4 separate regions of the Mus musculus genome follow, and regions 1, 3 and 4 are each reported to be linked to region 2. Evidence: microRNA targets listed by miRTarBase, many of them from high-throughput screens and not tested one by one. Region 2 holds a microRNA gene; each other region holds the end of a gene's coding sequence.

Region 1 (7,991 bases), not on the chromosome of region 2:
ATGAGTCATTGGTCTGGGTCAAGTCCTCTGACTTCTGCTATACCATCATTTCTGGATCCTTACTGGGACTCCTCTTGGATATTCTGTTTTTGTCCTGTGTCACAGAGATCCATGTATAAAGGACTAGGTACTTTATATCCTCTAGCAGTATATATGAGTGTAGATGTTGGGGTGGGCCAACATAAAGCCCTGGAGATGTTGGGATGGACCTGGATCTGGGCCTGGGTAGAAGCTGAGTTTGTCAGACCACCAGCTCTCCTGTAACCACATCACCAGGGTCCTTTGCCTAGGGATGGTTCTCATACACACATGCAACCAGGGCCCATTCTGCTAGGCTCTGCAGCTGGTGAGGAGTGGGGCCAATTCCCCTGATTTCCTAACCTCAGACCAGCTCACCTCATTGCACTGTGTGTGTGTGTGTGTGTGTGTGTGTGTGTGTGTGTGTGGGATAGTAGATCTCTCATGCTCATGCCACTTCAGGGCAGATATGTGGTAGGGACAGCTCTCATATGATCATGCTCTTTAGGACTGGCTCACCATCACCCTCAACACCAGGGCCAGCTCTATTGTGCTGCCCAGGCAAGGTGCAAAACCTGCTCTCCCAAGTGCTGCAGCTCCTGAGGGGCAGAGCCAGTTCTCTTGTTCTCCTGCCCTGTAGGCCAGCTCACCCACCTGCTGCAGGTGGTGTGTGTGTGTGGGTGTGTGTGTGAGTGTGAGAGAGAGAGAGAGAGAGAAAGAGAGAGAGAGAGATTTGTGTGGGAGGTTAGGGGTGTGTTTGTGATTTGTACTCAGTGGTAATCCTCCAAGGGCCATGTCTGAAGTTTTCATAGAAATTCTTAACAGATAGGATTTCATACAAATCAATGTCTTCTTGCTCTACATAAAGGACACTTAGGAAATGAGGCACATATGGTTTGTATGGAGGTCTAATATGCATAAACAAGGAATGTACATGGTTTCAAAATCAGCTCCTTTCCTCATGGGTTTCTGAACATAACAATATTGATTTTCCTCTGAGGTTTGTTTGCTGGGGAAGCTGGGATCCTTTTTTGTTGTTTTATTCCTTACACCAGTCAGCAGGAGCACAGGCTTGATCTAGAATTTTGTTTGTTACTATAGACTTCTCTTTGCAAGAAGGAGCATACTCAGTGCCATACCAAAGTGAGTTTATTGACATTCCTTGAAGATGTATGATGTAAGAGAAAGCGAGGCCTGAGTATCACATAACATTTCTTTTGTAGATGTAAGCAAAATCAGCCCAGTAATATGACGTCTCCTGTTATTGACTAGAACAAAGACTTGTAAACAAAATCTTATGGACATTTCCTTAGATAATGGAAGCTGCAGGAAATAGACTAACGGAACAATATTTACTCTATATACTACCTCTAGGCACCTTTTAGCTACTAGAACAAAGGGACTACATGTCATTAACAGGAAAATAACACTTTCTCTTTTGGACCTTGTGATGGCTGGAATAGTCATCCTGCACATTTATGATACAGTATTGCAGTTTTAGTGATGAACACTGTTAGACATAATTGTAATAATAATAATAATCATAACAACGACGACAACAATAATAATAAAGCACCACATTTTGTTATGTAAAGTTCTAACTACTTTCATTTGAAAGTGTTTCATCTTGACTGGGAAAACATTTGTGGCAACTTAAGAAATTTTCTGAACCCAAATTTCAGACATGTGGCTTGATACATGAACTATTGATGAAACTGAATATTGTTAGACATTTTGTGGGAAACTCAGCTCACTGGCTTGCCATACAAATATTCTTACTGTTGAATGATATAGCTTCATTATTAACAGGAAAAGCATTTAAATCTTTCATAATGAAAGCTTGCCAAAATCTCATTAAGCATTTGAATATTTTCATTACCTTTCCTGAAGTGTTTGTGCTATAATAATGATGGTAGTAAACCATCAGGGTGTTCTCGAACTCATATACACGGGATGTCACAGAGAACTCAGTATTCTAGAGTACTTCTGATCTTGATGACTCAGTTTCTATTGGGAAGATTGTCATCTTCATGTTATTGAATAATATGTTTGTATTATCTATAAAATTATAACACCTTATTGTCTTTTTCAAATTATAACATACTTTTTTAAATCTTTTAAATATTTTTGTCTTCTCCCAAAAGGTATTGTATTATACTCATAAAACTAGATATAAAAAAATCTTGTTTTAGGGAGGTTATGACTTACAGGTAATAAATTTCTAATTAACTTTATGGAGAAAAAAATTCAAAGAATAACATATGGTCACAAAAAAAAAATCTGTGTTACCCAAAGAATTATATGATTTGAGGTGATTTATCTCCAACCATTGAAATCAATAAAAAACTATTTCTACAGCATTTTCCTTACATGTAAATGTATACACATATACATATAAACATATATAGTTATATGTCCATATGCATATATAATGAATTAGACATAATTTCAATGTTCTCATGGATGAAGTGGGACGTGTCTATCCATGACTGGCTTTTGAGCTCCTCTCCCCTTTGTTTTCCCTTCTTCCATGAAAGGCTGAAGTCACGTGTTGGGCTCTGCAAAGCAAGCTTTACATTCTCTCAGCAACTTTGGTGTCAGTATAAATGACATTTTTAATTTTTCTAGAATACTATTAGTATATAAAGAGGGGTTCACAAGTCCCCAGCCCTATCTGAGGAGCTATTGACAGCCGATAGCTGCTAAGAGTCAGTTTTCTTTCTTTCCTTTTGTCTTTTTTTTTTTTTTTTTTAGAGTCTTACTAGGTAACTCTGGATGATCTGGAATTTGCTCTGTTGACCAGATTGGCATTGAACTCACAGAGCGCTGCCTGCCTCTGCCTTCCAAGTGCTGGGATTAAAGGCATTTTAATGCCATAAAGGTGCACCACTGCGGCCGGCTATGACAATCAAATATGTATATGTGTATGTACACACACACACACACACACAAAATGATACATTTATATCTTCCAGGGGATGACCTCATACTAATTTAAGATATGGACAAACAGCACAAATTGGACTCAATGGGTCATTAAAAAATGACATGACACTGAGAAGGAATGGAATATTGGGGAGTGAATGAACAAGGAGTTAGGGAGAAGAGTGTTAGGTGAATATGATTGAAATACATCGCAATAACTTCAAATAATTAAAACGAGTATGTTAGAAATGCTATTGCTCTTGGGATTTGTGTAGAACCTTGCATAAGGGTAGAGGTATAACTAAAAATTAATTTAAAAATGCATTTATCTGAGTTTCTTATTCACATGTCATTTCTAAGAAAATTTCTTCCTTCTGTATGTTGGTAGACTATATATTAATCTATTTAATAGATTGTCTCATTTCTGCAAATTGTAAAGCTCTTCAGGAGCAGCTTCCTACATTTGAACAACATTCTCCTTTTCAATGTATGGCAAGTCAGTGGTAAAAAACTTGAATGGTTGAATTTTTTTGTGAGGTTTTTATGTATGTATAAGATGAATTCTAAATATGCTATTCTAGGAGTTAAAGATTTAGTGAAAATGACTTTAGCAGTGCTTTTGTTCCGAGTTCATTAGTAAATAACAGCGCCATTGGACTTATTTTTCAGATTCTGAAATATGGGCCAAATCTTACCCCTCAAGCTGTGTTTCATACAATGTACATCCCATTTTTTAGTAAAACTTATTTTTGATAGCAATAGAAAACTAAGTTTGTATCATATATACTTCTTGCTTAACAAAGAAACACAGGAACACAGAGTGTCTTGGCATTGTGAATAATTTTTACTAAGAAAATATTTTAATGTGCAGGAACAAAACACACTGCTGTACTGAGCCACGAGGCATGGCTTCATCCTAAGTTAGCTTTACATTCTCAGACTTGTTCTTTTATTTTAATATGTTGACTACAACAATGAATATTTAAATAGTTGGGTCTCTTTAGCTTTTTTTTTTCCCAGTGAAGAAAAACCACTTTCATTTATGTCGTATTTCAGACAACATGGATAACATGGTTACAAAAAATAGCAAATGACCATTATGGTTAAATTTATCTCAAATGTACTTAAGATGCCAGGCTGTCTGTGGAGCCTGTGATTGTTTTTCTAAAAACACATTTTCTTAAATATTTTGCTGAATGCTTTAAAAAAATGGATTTTTTTTTTGTGGACACAAGTCAGCGTGCCTTTGAAGAATCACTAAGGATGAAGGAAAAGTTTATATTGCCCGTGATCCTTAACAAGCACCATCGTGCTCTGCAGCTTTGTATGTGGTGTCTGTGAACATCAGATGTGACAGAATTTGAACACCATGATTTAAAAAAAGGAAAGGAAAGGAAAAAAAAAAGAATGAGAAAAGTATCAAAGCTAAAAAGAAGCAAAAGTTTGGCCTATCACGTAAATAAACTTGGCTGCAACAAAAGCCATGAGATTTATTTGGACTATGTGTGCGTGAGAATAGATTAAACAAAATTCATCGATTGGAATAAATGTCATATGTCCTGTCCTTTTTCCTGTTTGCCTTATCACTTTTTATGGTGACAAAATTAGAGGTAAAGGCTCATCCTTCAATCTACAGCAATTAGGATTTGCTCCTTGAACATGGTACACAAGTTTGTGCTTCTTGGGTGGTGAGGGTTCACCAGGGCAGATCCCCCACCTCACTTTTCTGAACTCAAGTTGATTTCATAGTCCATATAACCCTTGGATTTACTGATAACCTTTTCCTTCTTGCTGTTGTTAATTGCTGGAAGTTTCATATTTGCACCATATGTCTAGGTTAGTTCTGGCTGATGGGGCTGATACCACTATGAATCATGAGTTGAATGAAGAAAACGTTTCTGTGTGGCCTTGGCTGTCCATTTGGATAGAATGAATAGGAAATGTAGAGATAGAAAGGAAAAAATTAGTCAGCTCCCAGGTCTGGAAATAGTTGCTAGAAATTAGGAAAAATGGAGGTTCTGTTTGGAAGACATGGGCATTTAAAAGCATGGAATGCTTACAGCTCAAATTATCTTTAAATGATAGAAATGGAAGTAAACATTTATTACCATTTCGTCAAGTGTAGCATAACTTGCACTCATATTTCATTGTTAGGAATGGAGGTATGTGGAAGTATACACAGACCTTGAGACAGCTGTTTTGTAGTATTGCATACAGGCTAGCAGTTCATTGGAAACAGAGGAGATAAGCCTGAAGATTAGATCTTAGAAGAAGGCAATTCTTCATGCACAGCTTTTGCCAATTCTAATTTGCTTTGAAATAAAAATCATGGAATACCAAAGTCAAAGGAGGGAGTAAGTCATCCCAGAGAGGGTGGTGTCACTGTTCAGGACAATGCCAGGCAAGGCTCCACGTCTTCACTCAAGTCCAAAGGTGCTGGTTTCTTCTACTGCTGTTAACAGCTTTTCATACAACATGGAATATGAAGGGTATGGTGGGAGATCCAATCGGTTGAAGCACGTATGTGCCCTGAGTTGGGGAGAAAATACTGGTGAGGGTATTTTAAGGACTGCTTTTGGTTACACTGATTACTTAAAAGAGGAAATCAAAAGTAAGCCAGACAATGATTTTGGTCAATCAAAAAAGACTGCAAATGGCAAAGCATGGCTGTTGAGATACAACAAGTTTAGGAAATTGAAGACCTAGAAACAGTTAATTGTTATTTGTAAATAAAACTACACTATACTACAAGCACAGTAGAGAACCAACAGTCAAGTCTATGCTATTAGCCTAATTTGAAATTTAAATAATATGAAGGAGGTGGAGACTTTATTAGTGCTAATGGATCATTCCAAGACATCCTTACTTCCCTCATGAGTTCTAGGCCTTGTTAAACCACAAGTATCTACTTGGAAGAGCTACTGGTACTCTGTTATCCTGAGATCCAGTTGTCCATGCCAGGTGTGTTGTGGAAACAAGTTTAACTCCTCTATACCAGTGCAACACACATCAACTGAAGCTTACATGGCCTACACCCAAGGACCACTGAGCATGTGGGACACTCCTTCCGCAAGCCTGGGAGAGTCTTCACATCATTGTCATCCATGTAGCCTTGCTCAGAATGGTTTCATTCTGGTGGCTCATACTTGCCAGAATCTGTCCTAGACTAGCTATGTCTTTCTTCTTACATGGATAATACAAGGTATAGGAAACACTGGATAATTCAGCGGCGAGCAGAGGAGGTATAACCACACAGATTTTTCCATGGTATCTGTTTCCTGCCAGGAACTCTTTGTTTCTATGGAAACTTGATTCTGGTCTTTTGACAAAGCAGGAAAAAGAGTGTATTGGCACAGCTGGAAGCTAATTTTATACCTTTTCCTCCCAGGTTGGGTGAGCAGTATGTTGAAGTTGTGTTTATACATCAACCAGCACAGAAAAAGACACTAAGCTAAAACAAAACAAAAAAAAATCAGAACAACAACAACACTCCATAGGCTACAACTAAACACTCAGAATTTTATTTAGGATGTTGGTGCTTGAATTGCGAGATCCTTTGGGGAGTTTATAACCTATACCTTTGATCTGACAAATTAGAGTATTAGAATAGAGTGTCAGAAATTAGAGTGTGTGGGCTCAGGATTCAGGATAGTGCCGCTTCTTTGGGAGATAAAGGAAAAGGGATTAAAGAAGGAGGAACATGGGGTTTTCTGCTGGGGGAGAATCTGGAGAAGGTGTTGGTGTTTGTCTATCCAGCATTCAATCTTGCTTTTGGCAACAGCTCCCTCCTTATCCTCGTGTTCACACTACACCACACTTTCCTGCCTGTCTTCTTCCTCTTCAAGCCCCAAGTGCCTGCCCAAGACAGTAGAATATCTTACTGTAGGCTTGAAGGACTTGATTTGGGGAAAAAACATGAAAACAAATAGACATTAGCGGAGCTCTGTAATTACTTAAGTATCAGGAAGACCTAGATCACTTCAAAAAATATAACTGAAGTATTTTAGTTATTATAAAATATTTTTAAATAAAAAGTCAAAGAATTGAGCAGGACAATGATTATAATGATTTTCTTGGTGTTTAGAAAGGCAGAAAGTAGAAAATCCATTGGATTGTGGCTGACATAATTAGGCAGTACAGTAAGAGCTAACAGTATTAATATATATTTAGAGAAAATATGTACATTGCATTTAATCTGTCTCTTTAGTAACAAAAGCAATGACATTTCCTAAAGGATAAAGCAGAAACTCTACAGAAGGCTCATTTCTTGGTGAAAGGTACCAAAGTATCTCTCTCTTCACATCCTCTCTATATATTAATTTATTTCCTGTTGCTGTGACAAAACATCTGACAAAAGGAATGAGGAAGGGGCAGTTTATCTTGACTCAGTATGGAGGTACAATCTATCCTGGTAAGGGAGACATGATGTAGTAAGGAGGTGGATAACCATATGACAAGAAGCAGGAGAGATAAACACACTCAGCTCACTGTCTTCTCTTTATTTAATCCAAGATCCCAACCCATGGAATTATGCTGCATATATTTAGGGTGGGTCTTCCTACCTCAATTACTTTACCTAGAGACATCCTGGAATTCTCAGAGGCGATTCAAGTTCCCAAATAGTCAACAGCTACCATCTCATCCGTGAACATTTCTCAGGACATTTTGTCCTCTGTTGACTGTACTTCTTTCTGAGCATATGCTGGTGTTTGCTCCATTCAGAACTATATCATACTGCTCACCCAGCCTAGAATTTCTCTCTGCTCTGTCCCGTAATGTTCACCAAATGCAAGCTGCTTGGAAGCATTTTCTCTGAGTAGTTCAATTAGGATTAAGATTCTGTTTCACACTCTCCTATCACATTGCTTTAAGCACCTTGAATTCCTCTGATTCTCCCTTATGCTGAAATTAGTTATCTTTGGTCTGTATTTCCCTCTACTACAAGTTTTTCTCCTCATACTACAGACTTATAGGGGTAAGCTATTGAATTATGACCCAAATGATACTTACCTAAAATAAAACCAGAATCTTTCCAAGTAACTTCACTA
Region 2 (7,246 bases):
TGAATGTAGCCCTGCCTAGTCCCGTGCCTAGTCACCATAGTAGACCAAGCTGGCCTTGAACTAACAAAGATCCTCCAGCCTCGGCCTAGAAAACTATAGGATTAAAGGCGCTGCTTCTAGAAACAAACAAAGAAATCTGTTTCCTCTGGGGGGTGGGGGGGAGAAGAAACCAGTGAAGGTCACTCTGCCGCAGGGAAACTCAGCTCAGAGGAAGCAGGGTGGTAGAGTAAGGATTCTCCGGGGTGGGGGAGGGGTATCAGAGCCTCCCAGTCCAGGGGGCCAATGAGCCTTCAGACTATATAAGAACCTAGAGCCTCCCCCACGCCTCTCAGAGACTTCTACTCCACATCGGGAATGCTGGTCTCTGCGGTCTTCAGGGATACCTCCGGCGTGCTGCTTCTCACATAGGCAAAGGTAATATTTTTAGTTTCAGATTTTTTATTTCCTTCAGTTCTGTGGTTTTAATCTACCTGGTTTAGAGAGGCGAAAGTAGATCCAGGATTTCCAGAAGAGAGATCTTCCTGCTTCAACTTTGGAGATGACTAGCCAGGCTGGCCTTTAACTCTCATTTCTGCCTGCCTCTCTGCCTCCAGATTAAAGGTCATCACGGCCATCTTCATTCTACTTTTTAAAAACTAGAGCCCCTTTTTTAAAAGGCAGGCTAGCCGCGAACTCAGCCTTCCTCGCTCGCCCCCACGGTTTGGCTGGGTTTACTAATCCCGAGGCAGAGGCAGGCCCATCTGAGGTTGGTCTGGTCTCCAAAGAAGACATTTAGAACTAATGTGTGTGGAAAAAGAGTTGGGCTTTTTTTTCTGACTTGGTCTACATAATTTCAAGGGAGGAACGAGCCTATGTGGGGAAAGTGAGTAGTCTGGGCGCGAGTGAAGTTTGGGGACCAGAAACCAAAGCTAGGAGTTACTGAGGGCAGGTCTAGGGAGTCTATGCAGTACATTTCATTAACTACGTGGTTTCATTGTAGAAATTTTGAGTTTCACTATACCTTGAGTTAGACCGATGTACTAACTCTTCCTTGATTTCATCCAGGTTTCCTTCAGGTTGGAGTGAATTTTAAGTTCTCCACGTTCTTTCCTCCTGGTAAATGTTTTAACGTCTGGACCGCCTCATCTTGCGGTACTCAAACTATGGGGGCACTTTTTTTTTTCTTTAAAAAGTGCCGCCTAGTTTTAAGCCCCGCCGGTTGAGAAAACGGCTATCTGGCACATTTACCAGCCCTGGTGCCACGTGTTCCGGGTTAACTGCAGCGTGGTGAGTACGGATTCGAAGAAAGGAATGAGACTGAGTATAGCGAAAGGCTAGGGATGGGCATCCTGCCCAGTAGACGGTAACTGAGGTGGTCGTTGTAGGGTACCTGGGGGCTCCATGTGCGTCCTGTCGCTGCTTGGAGCTGTTACACCTATGTAGCGGCCATCAAAGTGGAGGCCCTCTCTTGAGCCTGAATGAGAAAGTGCTTCCACTTTGTGTGCCACTGCATGGGGAAAACATCATAGCTTTGCATCTGACGCATCGGTTTACAGGAGCGGACAACCTGTGTGGGGGTTTAGGCTTGGAGTTTAATGGGTCCTATCCTAAAGAGGGCGGTTCAGTTGGGTGCCACGAGACGCGGATGGATGTAAGGCAGTCGTGAGTCCAGGTGCATTGTAGATTGTTCTTAAGCTTGACCTCCAGCCTGTGATACTCAAACTGGGGGCTCTTTTGGATTTTCATCGGAAGAAAAGTGCCGCCAGGTTTTGAGTGTCACCGGTTGAGAACTCAAAACGGCTAAGAACTAAGAATTAAGTTTTAGTGGGTCATGTTTTCACTGGGGTTGCATTTCTGGGCAGGTGGGTGTCACATGTGGGTTTGAGTCCGAACACTTGGGCGCATGCGGTACTAAAGGCTTTCCGCGTTCATAAAGGAGCCGGGATCCCACATGGGCCTCGCTCGGAGGAGCTGAGCCTCAGGTCTTGGAAGTTGGAACATACAGTGTCGATCAAAGTGGAGGCCCTCTCCGCGGCTTGGCGGGAAAGTGCATCCATTTTGTTTGTCTCTGTGTGTACATGGCGTCTGAAAAGCCGGCTGCAGCTGCAACCTGGAATCGCTTACCTGCTTGAAACAGGTATGTGTGCTGGAGGTGAATTCGTTGCCACTGGCTACTCGAGCTGCAAGGCTGGAGGTGAGGAGGAAGCAGGGCAGGGTGGAAGGAGGCACTCCAGGTCCAGGGGTGGTGAGTCTAAGCCTCAGGTCTGAGTAAAGAAAGGCCTACTTTTAAATCTCACGTGGCCGCCATATTAAGTCCTCTTTCAATTTTTTTCCTTTTTCTCCAAACAGGGTTTCTCTGTAGCCCTGGCTGTCCTGGAGCTAACTCACTTGTAGACCAGCCTGGCCTCAGCTCCATCCACCTGGGATTAAAAGATCCTATATATCTTGCTTGACTACTGTAGTTGCTATATCTTGCTTGACTACTGTAGTTGGACTGATGGTTGTGAGTCTTGATATGGTTGGATTGAATTTTTAGGACCTGCTGGCTGTAGCTGACTTTAACCTGGCTCCTAGCACAAACAAGCTTGGTGGACAGCCGGGTAGATAATACCCATAATACCTTTTGGCTTTACAATAGCCCAGGCTCATGAGGGCTGGGATTACAGGTGTTACATTGTGTGCCCTAAGCATAATCTTCATGGATTCTCTTTGTTTTTCAGGTGTTCCAGTTGAGTTGAATGTAATCCTGCCTAGCCTGGGGTACTTACTTGCCTTCAACCTGCCTGGCTGGCTGGTCTGGCTAAGAACTGACTATAAAGTTTCAGGTTTATTACCACAGCAGGTCCCTGTGGAAATGCTTCAATCTGTGGTACTCAAACTGTGTGACATTTTGTTCTTTGTAAGAAGTGCCGCAGAGTTTGTAGTGTTGCCGATTGAGAAACTGCAGTTGGCCTAAGTGTTGCATCATTTGGGTGTCATCTGTGGGTATGATTCAGTCTGTAATGGGGCAAAAGTAAAAGCTGAGGTGCACGGAACCTCACGGGAAGTGACCCAGATTTGACAGGTACTGTATTACATATAGCTGCATTTATCCTTTTGGCATTGAATAATCCTTAATCTTCAGTTCAGTTGTAGGCATGTTTGGATCTAGCGAAATTCCATATAGCCATACTCAAAATGGAGGCCCTATCTAAGCTTTTAAGTGGAAAGTGCTTCCCTTTTGTGTGTTGCCATGTGGAGAAAGCATCGGAACTTCAATCAACCAGAGACTCCTTGCTTGCTCATCTTGGTGAGACTCAAATGTGGGGCACACTTCTGGACTGTACATAGAAAGTGCTACTACTTTTGAGTCTCTCCTGTGGGCACCATTCACAGGTCGGCTGCTTTCATGCATGTGTAGTGTGTATCTGAATCCAGATGAAGGTTTCCTGGAACTGGGACATGTGGGTGCTATTGAATGAACCAAGGTGCTATGGGAGCAACCAGTGCCCTCAGCCTCCAAACATGAATAATAAAGTCTTGTTCTCTTGATTTTGCTGCTTTCTCAGTTTTTGTTTTAAAACACCCGCCATGGTTCCTAGGGATAAAAAAAGCTTGCAAGCATGCAAGCACCCTTTTAATCACTGGGGTTGAGACTAAAGGTAATCCTGGGCTATACAGAAAAACCCTGTCTGAAAAAATCCCCAAAAGTTAAACCAACACATAGCTGGAAGTGTTTTCAACAGTAATAGGGCACCTTTTGGGAGACACCCCTGTTTGCCTCTTGGGATTTAGGCATGCCACCCCTCCAATGGTTTTAAGGAAGAATTACCCTGTACTAGCTTAAAGGTGCCTTTAAGCATAGCCACATTTAAGCCCACATTTGTTTATATACTGTGAGTCTTTTCCATTTCTATACATCATGGCCAGTTCCTTTTAGTGGAGTGTCTGGATGGTTACAAGCTAACCTGAAATGGGGTGGTGCCAGGTTTTAAAAAGTAGTGGGTTGGGGAGCAGGGTGTGGGGGAGGATATAGGGGACTTCTGGATAGCGTTTGAATTTAATATAATAAAGGTAGATCTCTGGGTACTGTACTGGAAGTGGGCGGAGTTATCCCATTATAAGTGGTGGAGCTACCACGTGGTTGCTGGGAATGATGTCTGCCAGGCCTCACTAGTGTCAGGTCGTGAGTCATGCACAGCCATGATTTCTGCATCCTTGGCCACCTTGCTCAGTTTTCTGGAGTGTTGAGATTCAATGCGAACACCACCACAGCTGGGCAAAATCTAATAACCCAGGATAGGATGGGAGCATTGGCTGTCAACTATACCAGGTGTGCAAATCTTGGGTTTTGAGGCCTCATTTGTAAGGTGCCTTATACCTTTAGCCCCAGCCCACTTTTTTTTCCCCCTGCTGTATAAAATTCAGGTGTGAGTACAATTTTTCTTTTTAAAGATTTATAAGTGTTCTGTAGCTATCTTCAGATTCACCCAAAGAAGGCATTGGATCCCATTACAGATGATTGCAAGCCACCATGTAGTTGCTGGGAATTGAACTCAGGACCTCTGACTTAACCACTCCAGCCCTTGAGTACAATTTTTGAAAAATTACCTTGTGGGTCTTTATGCTGTGACTTGGCCAGTAGATGGCAGTCTTGGTCCATGGAAATGTCTAGGACTCTGGATATTTTTCCTTTTCTGTGGTCTTTACTGATCTTCAAACCTGCTAACCAGCCAATCCCCGTCCTAAATTATCTGCGTGGAATCTACATCAAACCCAGTGAGCTCCATCAAAGGTTGAGTGTTTAGGTCTCAAGCAGAACAATTTTGTCAACCTGCACTTACTGGGCCTCCTGACCTAAGACGGTCCCATGTAACAGGATGACCTTGAGTGATCTTGTCTCCACCTCACCATATACCAGAGGCTGGCCTTTAAAAGTTCCACCTCAAGTGCTTCAAAGCAGAGGGAATAAATATCCTGGTCGGCTTCATTCTGGTTCTCCTTACTGCTCAACACCCAATATCCAGGTACGGTTTTGTGACTCGAAGTGCTGCCATCCTCCTGTGAGTCTTTTTATTCAGGTCCATCCCAAACAGCCTGGGGACAAACATGGGACTATCAGTACAGTATGCTGCATTTTAGCCTGGTGAAAAGGGAGTCTCCCTACTCCTTTTTAAATATTTACTGAGGCTTGATCGTATGCTTCTGCTCTTGCACAGGTCAGTCTACATACAACCATTCAACCCGTTTAAATCCAGCTCCCAGGGATAGGACATCCCCTTCTTGCCTGTGGTTCCCGCATGCATATATATATATGTGTGTATGTATATATATGTATATATATATGTGTATATATATATGTATATATATGAATAATTAACATAATCTTAAGTGCATGGTAGTTGAGACAGCTCATGGAGCACTCACCTCAAACTTGGCCTCAGACTTTACAAGTACATGCCCTGGGATTCCGGAACATAACAAATGCAAATTTTTAAAATACTTGTAGGGTTAGTACATGTGTACACTTGAGTGCTTTCCTGCTGAGCCATCTTCCTAGCTCATCTTTTAAGATAGGATCTCACTAAGTTGCCCAGGCTGTCCTTGAACTTGGGACCCTCCTCTGAAGCTGGGATCCATACTCCTAGGTTTTCTTTGTTGACTGTATGCCATGATGTGTCAGCGAGACAGAGATGAGTTTTCTGTATGTGTTCTCTCCTACTCATGGGTCATGAGGACTGAACTCAGGTAATCAAGGTAGACGCTTCACCTGCTGAGCCCTCTAACCAGCCCTTTGTTTTATTCATATCAGTATTCTGCATACATGTATGCCTGATCCTCCTATATGCAGTGCCAATGGAAGTCAGAGGATGTTATTGGATCCCTAGGATCTGTAGTTATAAGTGGTTGTGAGCCACTAAGTGGGTTCTGGGAGCAGGGTCCTCTGCAAGAACCAATGCACTTAAGCACAGTGCCCCTCACTCCCAATTTTTTGTTTGCCTGTTTGAGACGGGGTTTCTTAGCAGCCTTGGCTGGCCTGGAGTGCTGGGTTCCCAGCCACGCTCAGCTCCTTATTCCCAGTTTGAAGTGTCTTCAGTCTTTAATAAGAGCCTTAAGAGAGTCTTACTTGCACTCTTCATTTATAGCTGCAGCTACCCTAGTGTGGAAAACATATCAAGTGTGTAACAGACTCAGAACTTTCAGATTCCAGCTGAGACTTGATCTCATCTGAAAGAACAGGAAGAGGATGGAGAGATGGCTTAGGAGTTAAAAGCACTGCTCTTCCAGAGGTCCTGAGTTCAATTCCCAACTACACGGTGGCTCACAACCATCTGTAATGGGATCTGATGCCCTCATCTGGGGTGTCTGAAGACAGTGACAGTGAACTCATAATAAAAATAAATCTTTCCCTGGGCATGGTGGCCCATGCCTTTAATCCCAGCACCGGGGAGGCAGAGGCAGGTGGATTTCTGAGTTCGAGGCCAGCCTGGTCTGCAGAGTGAGTTCCAGGACAGCCAGGGCTACACAGAGAAACCCTGTCTCGAAAAAAAAAAAAAAAAAGGAAAAAATACGGGCTGTGAGAGATGGCTCAGCTGGTTAAGAGCACTGACTGCTTTGCGGAAGGTCTTGAGTTCAAATCCCAGCAACCACATGGTGGCTCAAAACCACCTGTAATGAGATCTGACGCTCTCTTATGGTGTGTCTGAAGACAGCTACACTGTTGGGGCTGGAGTGAGTAGAGGTCCTGAATTCAATTCCCAGCATACGACATGATGGCTCACAACCATCTGCACAGCTACAGTGTACTCATATACATAAAATAAATAAATCTTTAAAAATTTTTATATAGAGAGTTCCAGGACAGCCAGGACTACACAGAGAAACCCTGTCTTGAAAAAACAAAAATAAAAAATAAAATAAAAAAATTAAAAAAATTAGAAAAATAAAAATAGGAAAAAAGAAGTAATGCATATTGCACTGAATTCCAGGCTAAGGCAGGATGTACTGGTCTTATACCCAGTCCCATGAATAAAATAGCTCCACATTTGTCTATGCAGTTTTATTTTTATTATTTACTTATGTGTAAGTCTGTCTGGGTATGAGGTAGGGCCATGCCTATGAAGACTTAAAAAGGGAATTGGAGCCCTAGGAGCTAGAACTGCAGGTGGGTGTAAACCCCCTGACATGAGTGCTGAGAATTGAACCCAGGTCCTCGGAAGAGCAGCAAGTGCCTCTTTTTTTTTTTTTTTTTTAAGATTTATTTATAATTCATTAGTACACTGTAGCT
Region 3 (7,991 bases), not on the chromosome of region 2:
GTCTCAGAGCTGGGGAGATAGCTCAGTGGGAGGATGCTGGTCACAGGCCTGGCTCTGGCAGTGAGAAGACGCAGTCATTTCCACGCCACAGAACTTTCAAGTCAGAATGCACAAAGTTGAATGTCATTTTGTAAATTTGTAGTAAAATGAAAAGATGGGGAGATACCCTGAGACTTGCTTGAAGTGACATCAGAGCTGAATCAACTGTAGGCTTCAGAACCCTTTGGGAGAATATGCTATGTCAATTAATGCTTGATTTATGAGTTTTATTACTTGATTGGCATGCTCTTAACTATTTAGTATATCACTGTTAAATATATATTTAGAAACATGTTTGTGTATTTGTTTATAGACGTTTCCCTTTGCTCTATGTTTATTGTATATGATACACTGAGGCAAAATCGTGGAGTTGCCCAGGATGTCTGTAGGTGCTTTCTACAGTGCCAGTAGAATTCACAGGGAGAATGTGTGTATGTCTCCACAGCTAGCGTCTGTCCTCTCCCCTGCCCCACGAGGGCTGTAGGCTGCAGCTGCACAGGAACAAGGAGAAAGAGGAAAGCTGACTTGGAAAAGAGCTAATTGCCCTGTAAATCTTGATGAGTGGGTGACACAGTGGCATGGTCTCCCAGCGCAGCCTTGGGGAGAGAGGCTAATGATAGACCTTGTGTGTGGGGAGCTTTGTCCACAGAACAATAGAGGCCTCTTCCCAGCTCCTCTGGCAGCTCTTGGCCTGGAGAAGGCTGAGAAGCTGTCCAGAGCTGCCCACAGTCCTGCTTCATACTGTAACAACAGGCCCACACTCCAAAAATCCTTAGAGCTCCCAGCATTCTGTCTATCTGGATTCAGCACATCTAAAGACATGCATTTTAGCTGGGCAGTGGTGGCACACGCCTTTAATCCCAACACTTGGGAGGCAGAGACAGGTGGATCTCTGAGTTTGAGGCCAGCCTGGTCTACAGAGTGAGTTCCAGAATAGCCAGGGCTACACAGAGAAACCCTGTCTTGAAAAACAAAACAAACAAAAAACAAGACATGCATTTTAGAAGCCAGACCTGGTAGTGCATACCCACAACCCTAATCTGCTCTTGGGGCTGAAGCAGGAAGATGATGAGTGTGAAGGTAGTCTAGCGATGCAGACACTGTGGAGGGTGGGGAGGATTAAGGGGAACTTATTAATATGTAGGGCAGAATATGCTCCCCCCTCTTCTGCCCCTGCCCCCCCCCCAAGTTCTCACTGAAACAAACGCAGAGCCTCATTCATCAGAATTAAATAGTTGTGCTAACTCTGTGAGGGTCTTGATGATGTGCAGTTTAGTCTCCAGGGCAGTGTAGTCCCTAGGTGCCAGAGTCTCCCTGTTAACACAGGAAACCAGTGCAGTGCTCTGACTGGCTGCGAGGCTCAGCCCATTCTCTCTGCTAAGGAAATAGGGCAAATGACACATTTACCAAATTAGCCCAAAGTAAGTGCTCTGGTGGAGGAAGTGCCTGTGAGCTCATGGCAAAGAGTCTAAGCAGTGTGTTAGGAAGCAGAGGCCTGACATACAGTATTTTCTATATATTTGTGTGTGTCCGTGCATGGGTGCCATGTCATGCATGTGGAGGTTAGAGGGCAACTTGAGTTAGTTATTTCTCTCTTCTACCATTTGGCCCCCCCAGGTGATCAATTTCAGATCACCAGGCTTGGTGGCAGATACCTTCACCTACTGAGCCACCTCACCAGCCTGACGTAATGTTGACCATAGGAGTGAACCAGGAAGATGTGGTTACATCTCCATCCCCTACTCCACCCAGTGAGAAAGGGACCCTGGAATTGCAGAGGGAGGCTGCCACCTGAATCGGAAGGGCATACTGGGCAGGGTTTATTTTGAAAATGCACAGGATATATTGGTCATCAGAAATGGACCTGGAGTAATATAGGAACCCAAGCTACCAGAATGCAGAGATGGGCCCTTTGTGGGCTCACCATATCGTCCCACACCCTCTCTTTAAACTCAGATGGTTTTTTCAAGAGGGAAACACTGGTGAATATCTATCTGCATTTTATCCAAGTGTGCTAAAGCTCCAAGTGCCAACAGCAAGTATTGGTATGGATTTCAGACTCCTTAGCTCCTCTATTCAGGAGGTTCTGCACTGATTGTCTGCTGAGAGTGGGGGTGCCACTGGAAAGAAAGTGGGATCTGGGAGCATTGCCACCTCTCAAGCAAATGAAGATAGAAAACTCATGTGGAGACCATCCCTGCCAGACTGCCAGGGGTCAATAATAGCAAGTCTGTTCTTCCCCTCCTTCCCTTCCTCTCCCCTCTTTCTCTCTCCCTCCCTAGCATCCAAAAGCTCTTTGGAGCCAGCCCTAATGAGTTATCTAATCAGGTGTAGGTCATAATGCACTTTAATATGTGTGTGATAAAAAACACGTTTGATATGCATTTGATAAAATGCAACATTTTTTGTTTGTCTTTAAGTCTGTGAATGAATTCAGAGTTTCAGTGTGCAAGCAGAAGTAGGCATGAGTCCTCTTAGAGCATCCCGGTGTGCGGACACTTCCCGGTGTGCGGACAGACACTTCCCGGTGTGTGGACAGACACTTCCCGGTGTGTGTGTTCTTTTTGCCCAGGGATTCAGAATTTCTCCTTTGACAGTGAAAATTGTTCTTTGTCCAACTCCTGCCGCCACCAGGACGTGATGCTGAGCTGCACAGTGTTGGTCGCAGGACTGTGTGTCTGGCAGCCTTTGCTCCTCCCTGAGGGTTATAGCAGACCCTTTCCTCTACTCACCTCACTTTCTTTTAGTCTGAACAGCAAAAGAAGCAACAGGAGGCTGAAAAACTGCATCGTCAGGAAAGGAAAAATCTGCGCAGGTCGGCCAGCCACCTGAGGTCCAGACCCAGAAGAGGCCGGCCCTTTCACTGACCAAAGAAATGTGCCCACGAGCAACTAGACGCTGTGCTTCTCCCCATGGATTCTCACAAGGGCATCACACCCAGGCTCCGTGTAGATGTGTGTGCATGGTGCTGGTGGTCTGACTGGCCCACTACCCACCTGGAGAAGTCCCTGGCCCTGGGTGCTTTTTCCAAGTGGCTGCCCCTTTCTCTCTCCCCCTCCCCCGCCCCCCTTAAATCTTGTCTTCTCCCCTGCTGATGATCAGGCATCATTTCAGATATTGGAAAGGCCTCCATGAAGTGAAAAGTTCACCCTCTACTGGAAACAGGACATTATCATGCTGTAAGAATGGCTTGGGTTAGCCCAGCCGTGGTGGCGCACGCCTTTGATCCCAGCACTTGGGAGGCAGAGGCAGGCGGATTTCTGAGTTCGAGGCCAGCCTGGTCTACAGAGTGAGTTCCAGGACAGCCAGAGCTACACAGAGAAAACCTGTCTGGAACCCCCCCCCCCCAAAAAAAAGAATGGTTTGGGGTTTTTTGTTTTGTTTTGTTTTGTTTTTTTGTCATTTGTTTATTTGAGACTTGAGTCAGGGTTTCTCCGTGTAGCTCTGGGTGTCCTGGAATTCAATCTGTGGCCTTGAACTCATAGAGATCCACTTGCCTCTGCCTCCTGAGTGCTGAAGTTAAAGGGATGCACCACCAGGCCCAGCCAGAGTGTCTGTCCCCACTGTCTTCTGCCCCTCAGGACTGAGTCACATGATGACTGCTGAGTGGCCCTGTTTATGTGCATGAGTATGTTGGCAGGCTGACTGGCTTGCTTATATTCCTTTGTATAGTTTTTAAGCTATTTTTATATCAAGGGTATAAATTAATAAATAATAAGTGAACGCTACTGGCTATTTGTTTAGCTTATCACAAAATTACGTAGTTATTTTCTGATGAAGTACTATTTGATACAGGCAGCGCCTATAAAAGGAGATGCTTTTCTTTGGACATTTTCTCTGAGGAAGACTCCTGCCTGTGGAAATTTAAAATTCACTTTAGCTTCCATACTTTGGAGTTTCTCATGTAAACAAATAGAATGGGAGCTCGTTAGGCTGTACCTATGGTGAGTCCACAAGGCAGGACACATTAGTTAGCAGTCAGTGTTGTTGGACCCTTGTCTCTTTAGCCTGTGATGTGTACTCAAGAACTTTCTGACTGTTGGTACATGAATCTGCACATGCGCATGCACGCACCCACGTACCCACGCGCACACACACTCCTACCTCTTTATTAACTATTAAGCAGATCCCTCCTGGGGCTGTGAGCCCCTGGTGCCCTCTCTTCCCTTTCTCAAAGTTTCCCATTTTAAAATTGTTGTGCATGCTGGTATCCCACTCTGTCATTTTTCTGTGTTTATATCAGTTGCTTTTGTACACCTATCACCAAAATAATCAATATGGACTTAAGGGATTCATCTTGGCTCTTAGTTTCAGAGGGTGTCAGGGTGTGCAGATGCTGTTCACATCACTACAGGCCAGGAAATGGAAACCCAGACAGGGCCTTAAAGGGCTTGTCTGAGCAACCTGTGGTTGACCTCTGCCAGCTAGCCTTCACCTCAAAGAACATCCCCACACATCCTAACTACTATCTGGGGACAGATGTTTAAGTTAGAGGCCTGTGGGAGACATTTCAGGCTCAAACCCTAACCTGTGATTGCTCGTTACCAGCACTAGGATGTGGCTTTGTCCAGTCCTGCCAGCAGCTGTCCTTCCCGGTGAGACTTAGGAGCTAGTGTGAGAAGTGTAGCACCAAAGCTGGGCACCAGGCCCTGGAGGACTGGGGTTCCTGAGTGATGTGTGCTCTTCTGCTCCAGATCCCTCTCAAAGCTTTAGTATCCCAATCCCAATGCCTAAATCTTCTGTTTCAAGTATTTTCATCAGTAACCTTTGAAGGAAGCAGACATGCTGGGAGGGGCAGGATTAACACAGGGCAGACAGCAGAAAATACAGGCCCAGGGGTGCGGGACTTAGAAGGGCTTCTGGGAAGAAGATTGAGTTCAGATCCTTTCCTCAGAATCCTCCCCTGGTTCTCTTCTCATCCAGTAACATCCTGAGTCCCTGAAGGACCCTGCCTGGCACAGACTCCTTTGTTTGCTGTCACCACACTGACCTTCCTCTTTCTAGAACATTCCGGGCATTCCCTCAGCTCCCCACGCTCCCCCAGGCCTCTCAAGTTACTTTCTCTCCTGTCTGGTCAATTCTGCCCCATTTACATTGTCACATCCCAGTGTCAGCATGTGTTTACAAATGGTACTCCATTTAATATGCTTTCAAAACGTCACCACGGGGACCACAGAGTCTTCTTGAGTGGAAGAAGAAAACCAAATACAGTAAATCATATCTGACCTATACATGAGTATCCATGCTCATATACTCATGCACACACATGTGCACACACACAAATAAGTATAGCATAAATTTAGAACCTTACTATGGAAAGTGTCGGGTACACACAAGAATGGATGGGGAACAGTCGAGTAGACCAGCATGCCCCAGCAGTGTGCAACGTGCTCACGGTGAGTTCTCAGCTAGCTTGTCCAGTGTCAGCTCCTGTTTCCAGAATGCCAACTCAATAAGGACTAGGGGGAATGTTTTAATCAGTATGTTTTGTTTGTAGCTGTGTATCTTAATCTCTCGAACAATGCCTACCACATCATGCAATGTTTATTTAAGCCGTTATGGGGTGCCCACCAGAGAAAACCACTCAGACGTAGTCCATAGCTGCCAATGGTGACTGCACTCAGGTCTTTGAGGCCCAGTACAGCACCAAGCTTTTAGCATAAGGGGTTTTTAAGGCAAAACCACATCCTGGTATCTCACTTGGCAGCTGCAGGGAAAGAGCTGTACAAGCAAGCAGTATAACAGAAGCCAAGGTAAATTAGCTGGAGCATCTTGACCTCTTAGAGTTGGTAATTATTTCCCACAGGATTCTCCATGGAGGAGAGCAAATTCTAGTTAAACCTAAAGTGGCCTCAGCAAGAAGACAAGCTAGAGGAACGCTGTGTTCTCCTGCCCTGTCACAAATGACTGAGTGGGATGGAATTGAACATTCAACTTTCTACTTTTTTTTTAATTAGGTATTTTCCTCATTTACATTTCCAATGCTATCCCAAAAGTCCCCCATACCCTCCCCCCACCCCCCTACCCACCCACTCCCACTTTTTGGCCCTGGCGTTCCCCTGTACTGGGGCATAGAAAGTTTGCAAGTCCAATGGGCCTCTCTTTCCAGTGATGGCCAACTAGGCCATCTTTTGATACATATGCAGCTAGAGACACGAGCTCTGGGGAACTGGTTCGTTCATAATGTTGTTCCACCTATAGGGTTGCAGATCTCTTTAGCTCCTTGGGTGCTTTCTCTAGCTCCTCCATTGGGGGCCCTGTGATCCGTCCAATAGCTGACTGTGAGCATCCACTTAGGTGTTTGCCAGGCACCAGCATAGCCTCACAAGAGACAGCTATATCAGGGTCCTAGCAGCACAATCTTGCTAGTGTATGCAATGGTGTCGGCTTTTGGAGGCTGATTATGGGATGGGTCCCCAGATATGGCAGTCTCTAGATGGTCCATCCTTTTGTCTCAGCTCCAAACTTTGTCTCTGTAACTCCTTCCATGGGTGTTTTGTTCCCAATTCTAAAAAGGGGCAAAGTGTCCACACTTTGGTCTTCGTTCTTCTTGAGTTTCATGTGTTTTGCAAATTGTAACTTATATCGTGGGTATCCTAAGTTTCTGGGCTAATATCCACTTATCAGTTCAACTTTCTACTTAATGTCAGACTTTAACCTTTATGCCTAAGAAGTGATTCCCACCTGAGCTTTCAGAGATGAGATGCAAAAAGATGAAATTGCAAAGGTTGACAGAGGGACAGGGAAAAGGAAGTTGAAAATATACGTTATAAATAAATAACCTTTAGGGGAAAGTTTAACATAAGGAAACAGAAATGGAACTTATGTGGTCAAGAGGGCATGAGAGAAGGGTCAGTGTGTGGGTGAGGGACTGGCTGGTGAGATGTCTCAATAGGTGAAGGTGCTTGCTAACAAGCCTGATGACCTGGGTTCAGGCTCTGAAATCCACATGGGAGAAAGAATTGACTCCCGTAAGATGTATTTGAGTGTGTGTGTGTGTGTGTGTGTCTGTCTGTGTGTGTGTGCTTCCACGTGTGCACACAACTCAAGTAAATGTTTTAGTAAAAACTTTTTGTAAAGAAGAAAACATGGCATTAGAGAAGTTGGTTCCTGATCTGTGTCTGTAAATGGATGGCGTGCCGCATACTTTGCAGTCAACTAAACACCACTAGGGTCATTTTCAGAGAGAACCTCAGTTGAGAAAGTGTCCAGCAGTGTCCAGTGAGTGGGCTTCCATAGAGGCTTGGCAGCCTGGAATGGGAGTTGCAGGAAGGTGGAGGCCTGCTGTGCTCCTGGGCTTCCTGACTAGTGAGATGCCCCAACACACACACATCAGATGGAAGAGGAAGTTCTCATCCTTTGATGATCCTTGCTCCCAGCCCAACCCAATAGGACTTCAAAGCTGACAGGTGGGAAGGAGTCCAGCTATGTACTTGAAGTAACCTTGAGTTTCTTTTAGATGTAGGCCAGAATGATGCATCCTAGACTTGGGAGTTGAGGGGGTTTCGAGTCCAGCTGGCCGGAACACCTCCCCAGTTGGATTTCCCCATCCGGCCTCCCTCAGTTCACTGCCCAGTTTCTGCTCACACACCTGGTTGACCCGGGGGCAGCTTTCTCTTCCTCTAACCCTTCTTGAGTTCTGCAAAATGGGTGGAATGTTGGAATCTCTCCTCCTCAGGGCCCCACTCTGCTCCTCTGTTGGAGCTCCACTGTGTCCCTCCAGTCTTGCCAAGCTTCCCTTGCCTGGTCTGTGGTTGCCTCTTAATGAAACTTTTCCTTCTGGACTTAGTGCTACACCCCCCTACACACACACACCCATCCCCCATTCCCTTTCACACTGCACTTAGGCTCTGAGGTCCTTCCCCAGCTCCTCTTCCTCCCCCTCCCCCTCCTCTGTATTATGGTCCTCTGGTCCCTCGTACTCAGAATAAAATTCATCACTGCCCCCCCTC
Region 4 (7,991 bases), not on the chromosome of region 2:
ACAGCAGGGATACCAAAGGTTCTCTGCTGTGCCTCTCAACAAAGTTAAGATCAAAGAAGCATGAGACCAACAAAGTGTTGCAAAGCTAGCTATGCAAGCCCCACCTCCCGAACTCCAGTCACTGTCCAGTTGAGTCATTTTTATTCTCTCTCCAAACATCTTGTGCTCTCCCATGGTTGGTACCTCAGCAAAACTCCATAGGAGTCTGTACCAGCTGACATCAATCAGCTCAAGTCTGAGGAAACAGAAGCCACCAGAACATCACCAGAATATTCTTGGTTATGAAGTCACAACAAACGATGTTTAAGGAATAGCAAAGTGTACTGATACCATCCAGCATAGTCCATGGTCTGTTGGCTCCCTACCTCCATGCGTCCTTTCATATTTGCTTTAGCAAAACATCCTTTCACCTGTGTCCCCTTCAGGAAAACACTCCTTCACATGTCTGACCCAGAACATACCATCAGACACAACTTGCTTCCCAAAGAAACTTCACACTGCTTCGAAAAAGTGTATGTATGTGTGCATGTATGTATGTTTTATTCACATGTATGTCTGTGTACCACAAGCATACCCATAGACACCAGAACATTGGCTCCATGGGTACTGGAGTTACAAGTGGATCAGTTTAAACACTTCAATTCTGTGCCTTTCTAACCCTTCAGTCTGGCTACTCGGACTCCAGGATGAGGCCTCCAGTGTCTCTATTTAGTAGGGACATGCCTAGCTGTCCTGGACTCCTGGGTTTGTTCTGACCCTCTGGTGGCCAATGTAGAATATCCCAGGCCTCATGGGAGAACACCCAGAGGAGGATGGCCAGAGTGCACTTCACCACAGTGGGGAACCTAGCCTTGGGTGACATTCAGAACAGACCCCTGCCCCCTCTTTTGTTGTTGTTGTTTTAGGGAATAGGGTTTCTGACTCACCTGCAACTATGTAGACCAGGCTAGCCTCCAAATCACTGTTCTGCCTGCCTTTGAGTGTAGGGATTAAAGCCAAATGGCACTCTGCCTGCCAGACCCAAAAGAAAGTGAGGACAAATCTGTGCTGCTTCTTAGTGAGTTCTGTGCTTCAGGTTTCCTGGGTTCTAATTGCCCATGTCTCTCCCACCCACCCCTACCCTTCTCTTGCACATGGGCTTCCCTCCCTAGCATCTTAGTCCCTTATAAACCTGTCACTTTTGAGTATTTGTGTGCTTGGTCATCTTTGGTCTTCCTCTCTTGATCATCTCCTCTTCCTCGACCCACTCATCTCATGGACAAAGCCAGTCTGCTGGCCATGTCCCATCTACTTCTCTTTCTCCCTGTTCTGGACTCTTCCAGATGCCTCTGGCTGCACTCTCCCTTATTATCTACAACAAAAACCTTCCCTTCAACCATACTTTGGAGCAGTTATGGCCTTAGTTTACACTTCTGATACACTATTTAAACACCTAGGTTCAATGGATTCATCTTGAAGATCAAAAATCTTTAGAGCTGGTTGACACTCAGGTTTTTTGTGCATGTTCATGTGTACAAAAGCATGTCAGGGCCAGAGGGGAACCTTATGTGTTCTTTTAGGTACCATTTACTTTGCTTAGGCTAACTGGCCAGTGAGCCTCAGAGACCACCTGTCTCCATGTCAATTGCTGGAATTACAAACCTAAAACATCATGACTGGCTTTTCTTTTTACCCTCTGAACCATCTTGCCAACTCCTACCTGACATTTTTTTTTCTTTTTAATTATTTGTAAATGCTCTAAGTGTTCAGGTATGTGTAGATGCCAGAAGAGGGTTGTCAGACCCCCAGAGCTGGAGTTACAGATGGGCTGTTAGCTGCCTGACAAGGGTGCTGGGAACTGAACTTGGGCCTCTATAAACTGCTGACCCATTTCTCCAGCTCCTGTTTTATTTTTTCAAAAACAAGGTCCTGTAGCCCAGGCTAGCATGAGGATGACCCTTAACTCCTGATCTTTACCTCTTCATTGCTGGGATCACAGATACATGCCACCTTGCCTGGCTGTGGGGCGTTTTTGCTATTTGGGATGGTAGACCACTCTCATGAGAAGCTTTGTGTGCCCAGCCAGCTTAGCACAGGCTGACGACAGACTCAACTTTCCAGATGGGACACCTGCTGTCATAGGAGGTAACAACCAGCAAAGCCCCAGGACTCATCTACCTCACTTGCTCCAAACCCCACCATCCAGGGTTGGTGAGGTAGGACCAGGCTTGTTCTGACGATAGAGCCTTCAAGTTGACAAAGGAAGGAGTGGACTCTACCTGAAATCTAGCTTAAGCAGACTCTGGAAGGCAGAGATGCCCAGGTGTGGGGGATGAGACACATAGCTGGACTCTGAATCCTTTCGGAAAGGTCAGTGCTTAGGCACACAATGGCATACCGAAGGCAGTGGATGCTCCTCCCTTGAGTCTTGAGCACTGGGGTCTTGAATTTAGGAACACCTGCAGTATAGTTCAGTTTGAGAGGTGTGTTTGCTGTGCACAAGAGCTTGGTTCCACCCCCAACAAAGTACAAAACTACAAACAAGTGGCTGAAGAGATGGCATGGTGGAGTGCTACCTACGGTCTCAGAAACTTGGGGTTGAAATGTAAGAATTTCCTATGTAAGCCAGTGGAGATCCAGAAACCAAGCCACAAAAAGCAAAACAAACAAACAAACCCAGTCTAATCCTACAGTGGTAGCTCACACTATATAACCTTGGGTGAGATTTGGGGAACAGCAGCTACAATACAAGATCAGCCAGGGATAGACAGTTAAAGTCTGTCAAATTTAAGTCAACCACCTATCAGTAAAACCTGTCTAATTATTTTTTTTTTTGTTTTTTGAGACAGGGTTTCTCTGTATAGCCCTGGCTGTCCTGGAACTCACTCTGTAGACCAGGCTGGCCTTGAACTCAGAAATTCACCTGCCTCTGCCTCCCAAGTGCTGGGATTAAAGGCGTGCGCCACCACGCCCGGCTTTTTTGTTTTGTTTTTTTTTTAAACCTGTCTAATTTTATATGGATTTCACCTGCAGTCAAGAGTCAACTAACCCATGGAAAAGCAAAGAGCCTTCCCTACCCAGGAGCACAAGGGCTGGACCAGGCTCTCCTTTACTGGGTTATTCATATTTCACTGTGTAACCCTTACTGGCATGTAACTTGGGAGTGTTCTTAGCCTTCCAGGTGTGACAGGTGTGAGCCACCATGTCCAGCTGGTTTCTGCGTTGCACCTGGGTACAGGAGCAAGCGTGTCTAGGGGCTTGTATGCTGAAACTGCAGGGTATAACACCCTTCACAGAAGGTCCAAACCAAATATTGCATCAAGATAGGATCACAGGATAAAGCTATGGCTCAGCTGGCAGAATGCTAGGCTAGCAGCACCAGGTAAAGCCAGCACTATGGCACATGCCCATCATCCCAGGACTAGGGTGGTGGAGGCAGGAGAATCAAGAGCTCAAGGTCATCCATGAACAAGAGATACTATCTTAAGAAACAAAAGCTCTAAACACTGCCCCTTCCAATCAAAACCCCACAGCCAAAATCTAAGAGCCAGGTGCTTGGAGGCTGAGGCGTGGCACCAGTGTCTTCAAAAGAAGCAAAAAACAACAAACAAGCAATCAATATCCAGCTAAAATCAAACAGAAAAAGGGGCTGTGGACCAGCTTCCTACCAGGCTGAGTTGATGAAGGGGCTATGCCTCTGCCTCAGGGCTTCAGTCTATAGTAGAGGGGCTGCTGGCAAGGCTGGAGGGAGGGAAATGAAAAGACTGGGGGAATAGTGGTCCTAAAGGGAGAGACCAGCAAACAGACTTCTCACAGATCTCAGCTTACAGTTCCCGATTAAAAGGCTGCTAAAACCAGGCAAAGCCACCCATGTTTATGAAAACAAACCAACCCTCTCAATAGATGACATGCCTTCCTTCACTCAGAGTGTCACCTGTGGCTTAAGGGCTCATATAGGGCTACAGTTAGCCTGGCTCAGGGCTGGCTCTTAGTAACTCCTGGGTTATAATACCTCTTTGTGCTAGCCCATCTGGGATTTCCCCTCAATCTTTAGCTGTTGGACACTGTGGTGGGGTCATGTAGGTGGAAACTCAACATAGACTATGGAGTTTGTCGTGACCCTGTGCTTAGTTTTCACATGCCTGAGATATGGACACTAAAAGCACTCTAACATCAGGACAGATGGCAAGTCGAGAGGTCCTTGTTTGAATTGCTGTATGTACAAAATGCCCTAGAAGCAAAAAAAAAAAAAAAAAGCTTAAATAAATAAGCAGGGCTGTGATGCAGGTATTGAGGGTAGGTCCCTGGGACCCAAGGGCTAGAGGAAGACAGAAGGGTTGGGAGCACCTGGCCATGGGCAGTCTCTGCCACATGGCTCAGAAAGGATGTCCATGAAGGTCTTGGAGCTTCGTCCCTTCAGTCATGGCTTCCAAAGCTCTGAGAAGTGGTCTTCACATTGCTTGGTGAGCACCTGCCTAGATACCATGAGCTGGCAGGAACCACTGTGCCCCGTACCCCCCCATTATTGTCACCCTTAGGGCAGCTATCAAGCCAAGAGGAGCTGAGCTGGTCCCATAACTGTCCTCCATGGGAAAGCTAAATAGCTGCCAGGAAGGAACCCTCTCATTCAGGTCCAATGGGACTTCTGCCTGATGCTTAGGCTGGGCCAAGACGTGCTGCTGAATATGAGCAAGGAGCTTCTTAAGGGCACACGAAGTCTCAGCCTCATCAACTGCGTATGTACACCTCTTCCCAAACTCCTCCCCTGCACTGGGTCACCTTGGAGGACCACTCAGATTAAGAGTCTGACTTCCAGGTCCTCAGAAGTCCCTGAGTGCAGGGACACTGGAAGAACAGCAGACCGAGGAAAGTGAGAGCCATTACTCTCCCCTCAGCTTGCCCTGGGTTGGAGGCCACTTTGTGCAGCTGCACTTAGGTTCGGTTGAGCACTCAGATGATGCCCCTACACACATTGTCACCCTGTTCTTCTCAGGTGACACCCAGACACAGATTAGGCCATCAGTCCCTTCAATAGATGGCACTGAGTCCTGGAACAGGTGCAATTGGCTGTCACCCTCAGAGGCAGATGATGGCTTCAGCACTCTTAGGACTTAGCTCTGGACAATGGTGAGGGACTGGTGGGCACCCTGGTGGTTTTGTTCCCAGAGAGCTCCAGTGTTGGGTCCAAGTTGCGGACACAGGCCTCACAGAAGGCTGGCCAGGCTGGTGTTGGGTCCATTCTGAGCTTGGAACTGCACAGGGGGTGGGCCATCTGTCCACTGTGGGGAGAACACACATGAGTAAACCCCTCCCAGCTGAAGATCCAGAGCCCGTATCCCTATGTCTGTTTCCCCACCCTTTATACCGTAATGAGGTTGTGCTCTGGGAGGCTACAGGCCTCGATGTGGTCCTGCAGCAGCTGCTGTGAGAAGTTCTGGTGCATCTGTGCGGCTTCATGGGCATCCATGGCGTTCCCACATGCCTTGTTTAGGTCTGAGGATGGGGCAGGTGTCACTGTTCATCCCTGGGTGGCCAAACTCATACCAACCCAGGGGAGACAGAGTTACCCTCAGACATCCAAACCCATCTTGAGATGCAGGAGGATCATCCACAAAGCCCTGAGCAGGAACCCAGTCTCCACCTGCCAGAGTTCTTAAAAATCCCCTTGAAAGCAAGCTGTGGTGACTTGGCAGACAAAGGAATGTAAATTTGTGACTTCAAGATCAGCCTTGTTGCCAGGCAGTGGTGGCACATGCCTTTAATCCCAGCACTTGGGAGGCAGAGGCAGGCAGATTTCTGAGTTCGAGGCCAGCCTGGTCTACAGAGTGAGGTCCAGGACAGCCAAAGCTATTCAGGGAAACCCTGTCTCGAAAAACCAAAAAAAAAAGACCAGCCTTGTCTACCCAGAGTTCCGGGCCAGCTAGACCCTGTTTCCAATAAATAAACAAACAAAAATAAAAAAAAACCCTGGAGATACACCGCTGCTTGTATGATGTCAGGGCCCTACAAGCATGCCTGGCAGCTTTGTTCACTCTCACCTCTCAGGAGGGCAGATGACCACAGCTGCACAGACATGTCTGGGATCTTGCTGGCCAGCTGCATGGCAGGTACCACCATGTTGTTACTCTCCTGCCAATCAAAAGCTAAGAATTAACAGTGAGGCCACAGACTCCATCTCCCATTTTATGTTCTGCTGCTCCTGGACAGACTCTTATTGCACCCTCAGAGACTACCTAAACTGGTCCTCTAAAGTACTCTTGTCCACCTTGGGAAAAACAAACTGAGCACTCTTGCCTTCCTCTGCACGTGAGGCAATGAATGGGCCATACATGCCTCTTGCCAGGTAGAGAAAAAGACAGCTCTGGTCCAACAACTAGAATGATTAAAACTATACATTCATGCAATGTCCCAAGGCTCCTGAAGTAGCAACCTGTCTAAGGGCATGGACTGCGTGTGGAGGATTTGCTCCTTTGAGCTGGCTTTTGTAGGCTACTGTGGGGATGTGGGGTCTTTAGACCTGTGACTCCCTCTTAGTAAGTTTAGATTCTGTGTGTGCTGAGCTGCTGACCTAGGTGCCCAGCGTTCTCACGATGAGGCTAGGGGAGTCCTGGAGAGCAGCTTCCTGTTTCTGACCTCACACTGAGAAACCCAAGGGAGTTCTGAAGTGCAAACCATGCTCAGCTGACCTGCTCTACCTCCCCAGCCTGTGGGTCTGGGTACTTTCTGTGACAGAGGTTGAGAGCACTCACTGTCCTTGCAGAGTCCTCAGGTTCAGTTTTTAGTACCCACATGGCAGCTCACAATTGTCTAATTCCTGAACCAGGGAATCTGACCCCTGCTTTTGACCTCTGTGGACACCAGGCCCACACATGGTACATATGCATACATTCAGGTAAAACATTCACACATAAAATAAGTAAATTGGGAAATACCCAAATAACAAATATTGAACGAATAACAAAAATTTAAAAGCCTCAAACCAGATTTCAGTTCTAGGTACAGGTTAATGGAAAACAACCTAACCAAATGCAGCTCAGTTGGGTTATTCAGGCCTTAACCTCCACCAGCCACAACCAAACAGAGAGCAACCCTCCCTGCTCTCTGTCCCTGCTGCTCACCACCAGGCTCACTCTGACTGCCCTGACCTCACAGGCCCTGCTAGCTCCCTAGTTCGGCTAACACAGGCAAAGGGAGTATTTTACAGAAAGCCATTGAGTGGGAAACACTGCTGGACAAGCAGGCTTCTGGCCCACATTGCTACTCTAAGTGCTCCTCCAAAGCACACCACACCAGAGTTCCACAGAGTAACCAACCAGTCTTGCCCAATCAGCAGGCCACAGCACTAGGAACATGAAGGCCACTCCCTGCTCTCCATGGCCAAGTTACCCTCACTACATTTTATAGTAATTTCAAGTAAAAAAGTCTTGTAAAGTCACGTGCTTGATGGTGCCACAGACACAGGAGGGTTTGACATTGCCAGTCTCATCTAAGTTTCTGAGACAGTCCCACAGGGCCATGGATTCCCAAGGGATGGTATGCAGAGAAGCCTACAAGGAACATGGCAGGATGCAGCTGTCTCTTAGTTCCAAGGCTTGTGAGCCCGACACATATATCCTGGAAGGGAATCCCAGGACCCAGGACCCAGGACCCCATGCCTTCCACACCCTGGGTTCCAGGACAGGAAATACCATGCTCCACGGTGCTGCTCCTCAGGTCTCGAGCTAGATAGGTGCACAGGCTAGGTAGGGACTCACCCTGTGATTTCCCAACACATAGAAGATGTGACCCAGCAGCACAAGGGAGCAGGCTGTGAGGCGGTTCAGGTCCTCTGCATTTGACATCTTCAGAGTTTCTCGAAGAAACCGCCTGTAAGAGGAGACAGATGCTGGCACCCTGCAGGTATCAGTCATAGAGGAGCAGATGTAGTCTGAGGAAGGAGAGGCTAGGATACATGCTGTTTTGATCCAAACTTACTTGGCTTCGTTGTAGCGGCCCTGGAAGAAGGAGAAGAG

Evidence for each region. The annotated mature microRNA mmu-miR-295-3p reads AAAGUGCUACUACUUUUGAGUCU and lies in region 2 at 3,310-3,332, shown strand. An mRNA with a match to its seed (bases 2 to 7 or 8) in the 3' UTR can be bound and repressed. Matches are read on the target gene's strand: a 7mer-m8 pairs with bases 2 to 8, a 7mer-A1 pairs with bases 2 to 7 and ends in A, and an 8mer does both.
Region 1: the mRNA of Hecw1 is a reported target of mmu-miR-295-3p. Seed matches in the 3' UTR shown: 7mer-m8 at 2,864-2,870.
Region 3: the mRNA of Nol10 is a reported target of mmu-miR-295-3p. Seed matches in the 3' UTR shown: 7mer-m8 at 3,270-3,276.
Region 4: the mRNA of Mau2 is a reported target of mmu-miR-295-3p. Seed matches in the 3' UTR shown: 7mer-m8 at 2,918-2,924.

The regions. Positions count from the first base shown.
Region 1 is chr13:14,225,289-14,233,279 of GRCm38, forward strand. It overlaps Hecw1 (HECT, C2 and WW domain containing E3 ubiquitin protein ligase 1), which reads right to left. Exons shown (of 29, transcript NM_001081348.3): 29 at 1,150-5,472. The coding sequence ends at 5,361. Among named protein-coding and RNA genes, the nearest start is that of Gm26129, 140 kb to the left of the region's middle.
Region 2 is chr7:3,217,506-3,224,751 of GRCm38, forward strand. Mir295 (microRNA 295) reads left to right here and starts at 3,268; the gene lies at 3,268-3,336. Nlrp12 (NLR family, pyrin domain containing 12) reads right to left here. Exons shown (of 10, transcript NM_001033431.1): 10 at 4,005-5,055. The coding sequence ends at 4,968. D7Ertd143e (DNA segment, Chr 7, ERATO Doi 143, expressed) reads left to right here and starts at 1,279. Exons shown (of 1, transcript NR_028425.1): 1 at 1,279-3,510. Mir291b (microRNA 291b) reads left to right here and starts at 1,977; the gene lies at 1,977-2,055. It also overlaps Mir293, Mir294, Mir290a, Mir290b, Mir291a and Mir292, and 1 more gene.
Region 3 is chr12:17,426,329-17,434,319 of GRCm38, forward strand. Nol10 (nucleolar protein 10) reads left to right here. Exons shown (of 21, transcript NM_001008421.1): 21 at 2,787-3,767. The coding sequence ends at 2,906. Among named protein-coding and RNA genes, the nearest start is that of Gm36752, 6.2 kb to the right of the region's middle.
Region 4 is chr8:70,014,403-70,022,393 of GRCm38, forward strand. Mau2 (MAU2 sister chromatid cohesion factor) reads right to left here. Exons shown (of 19, transcript NM_001376946.1): 15 at 7,954-7,991; 16 at 7,734-7,845; 17 at 6,018-6,108; 18 at 5,345-5,472; 19 at 125-5,258. The coding sequence ends at 5,184. Among named protein-coding and RNA genes, the nearest start is that of Mau2, 24 kb to the right of the region's middle.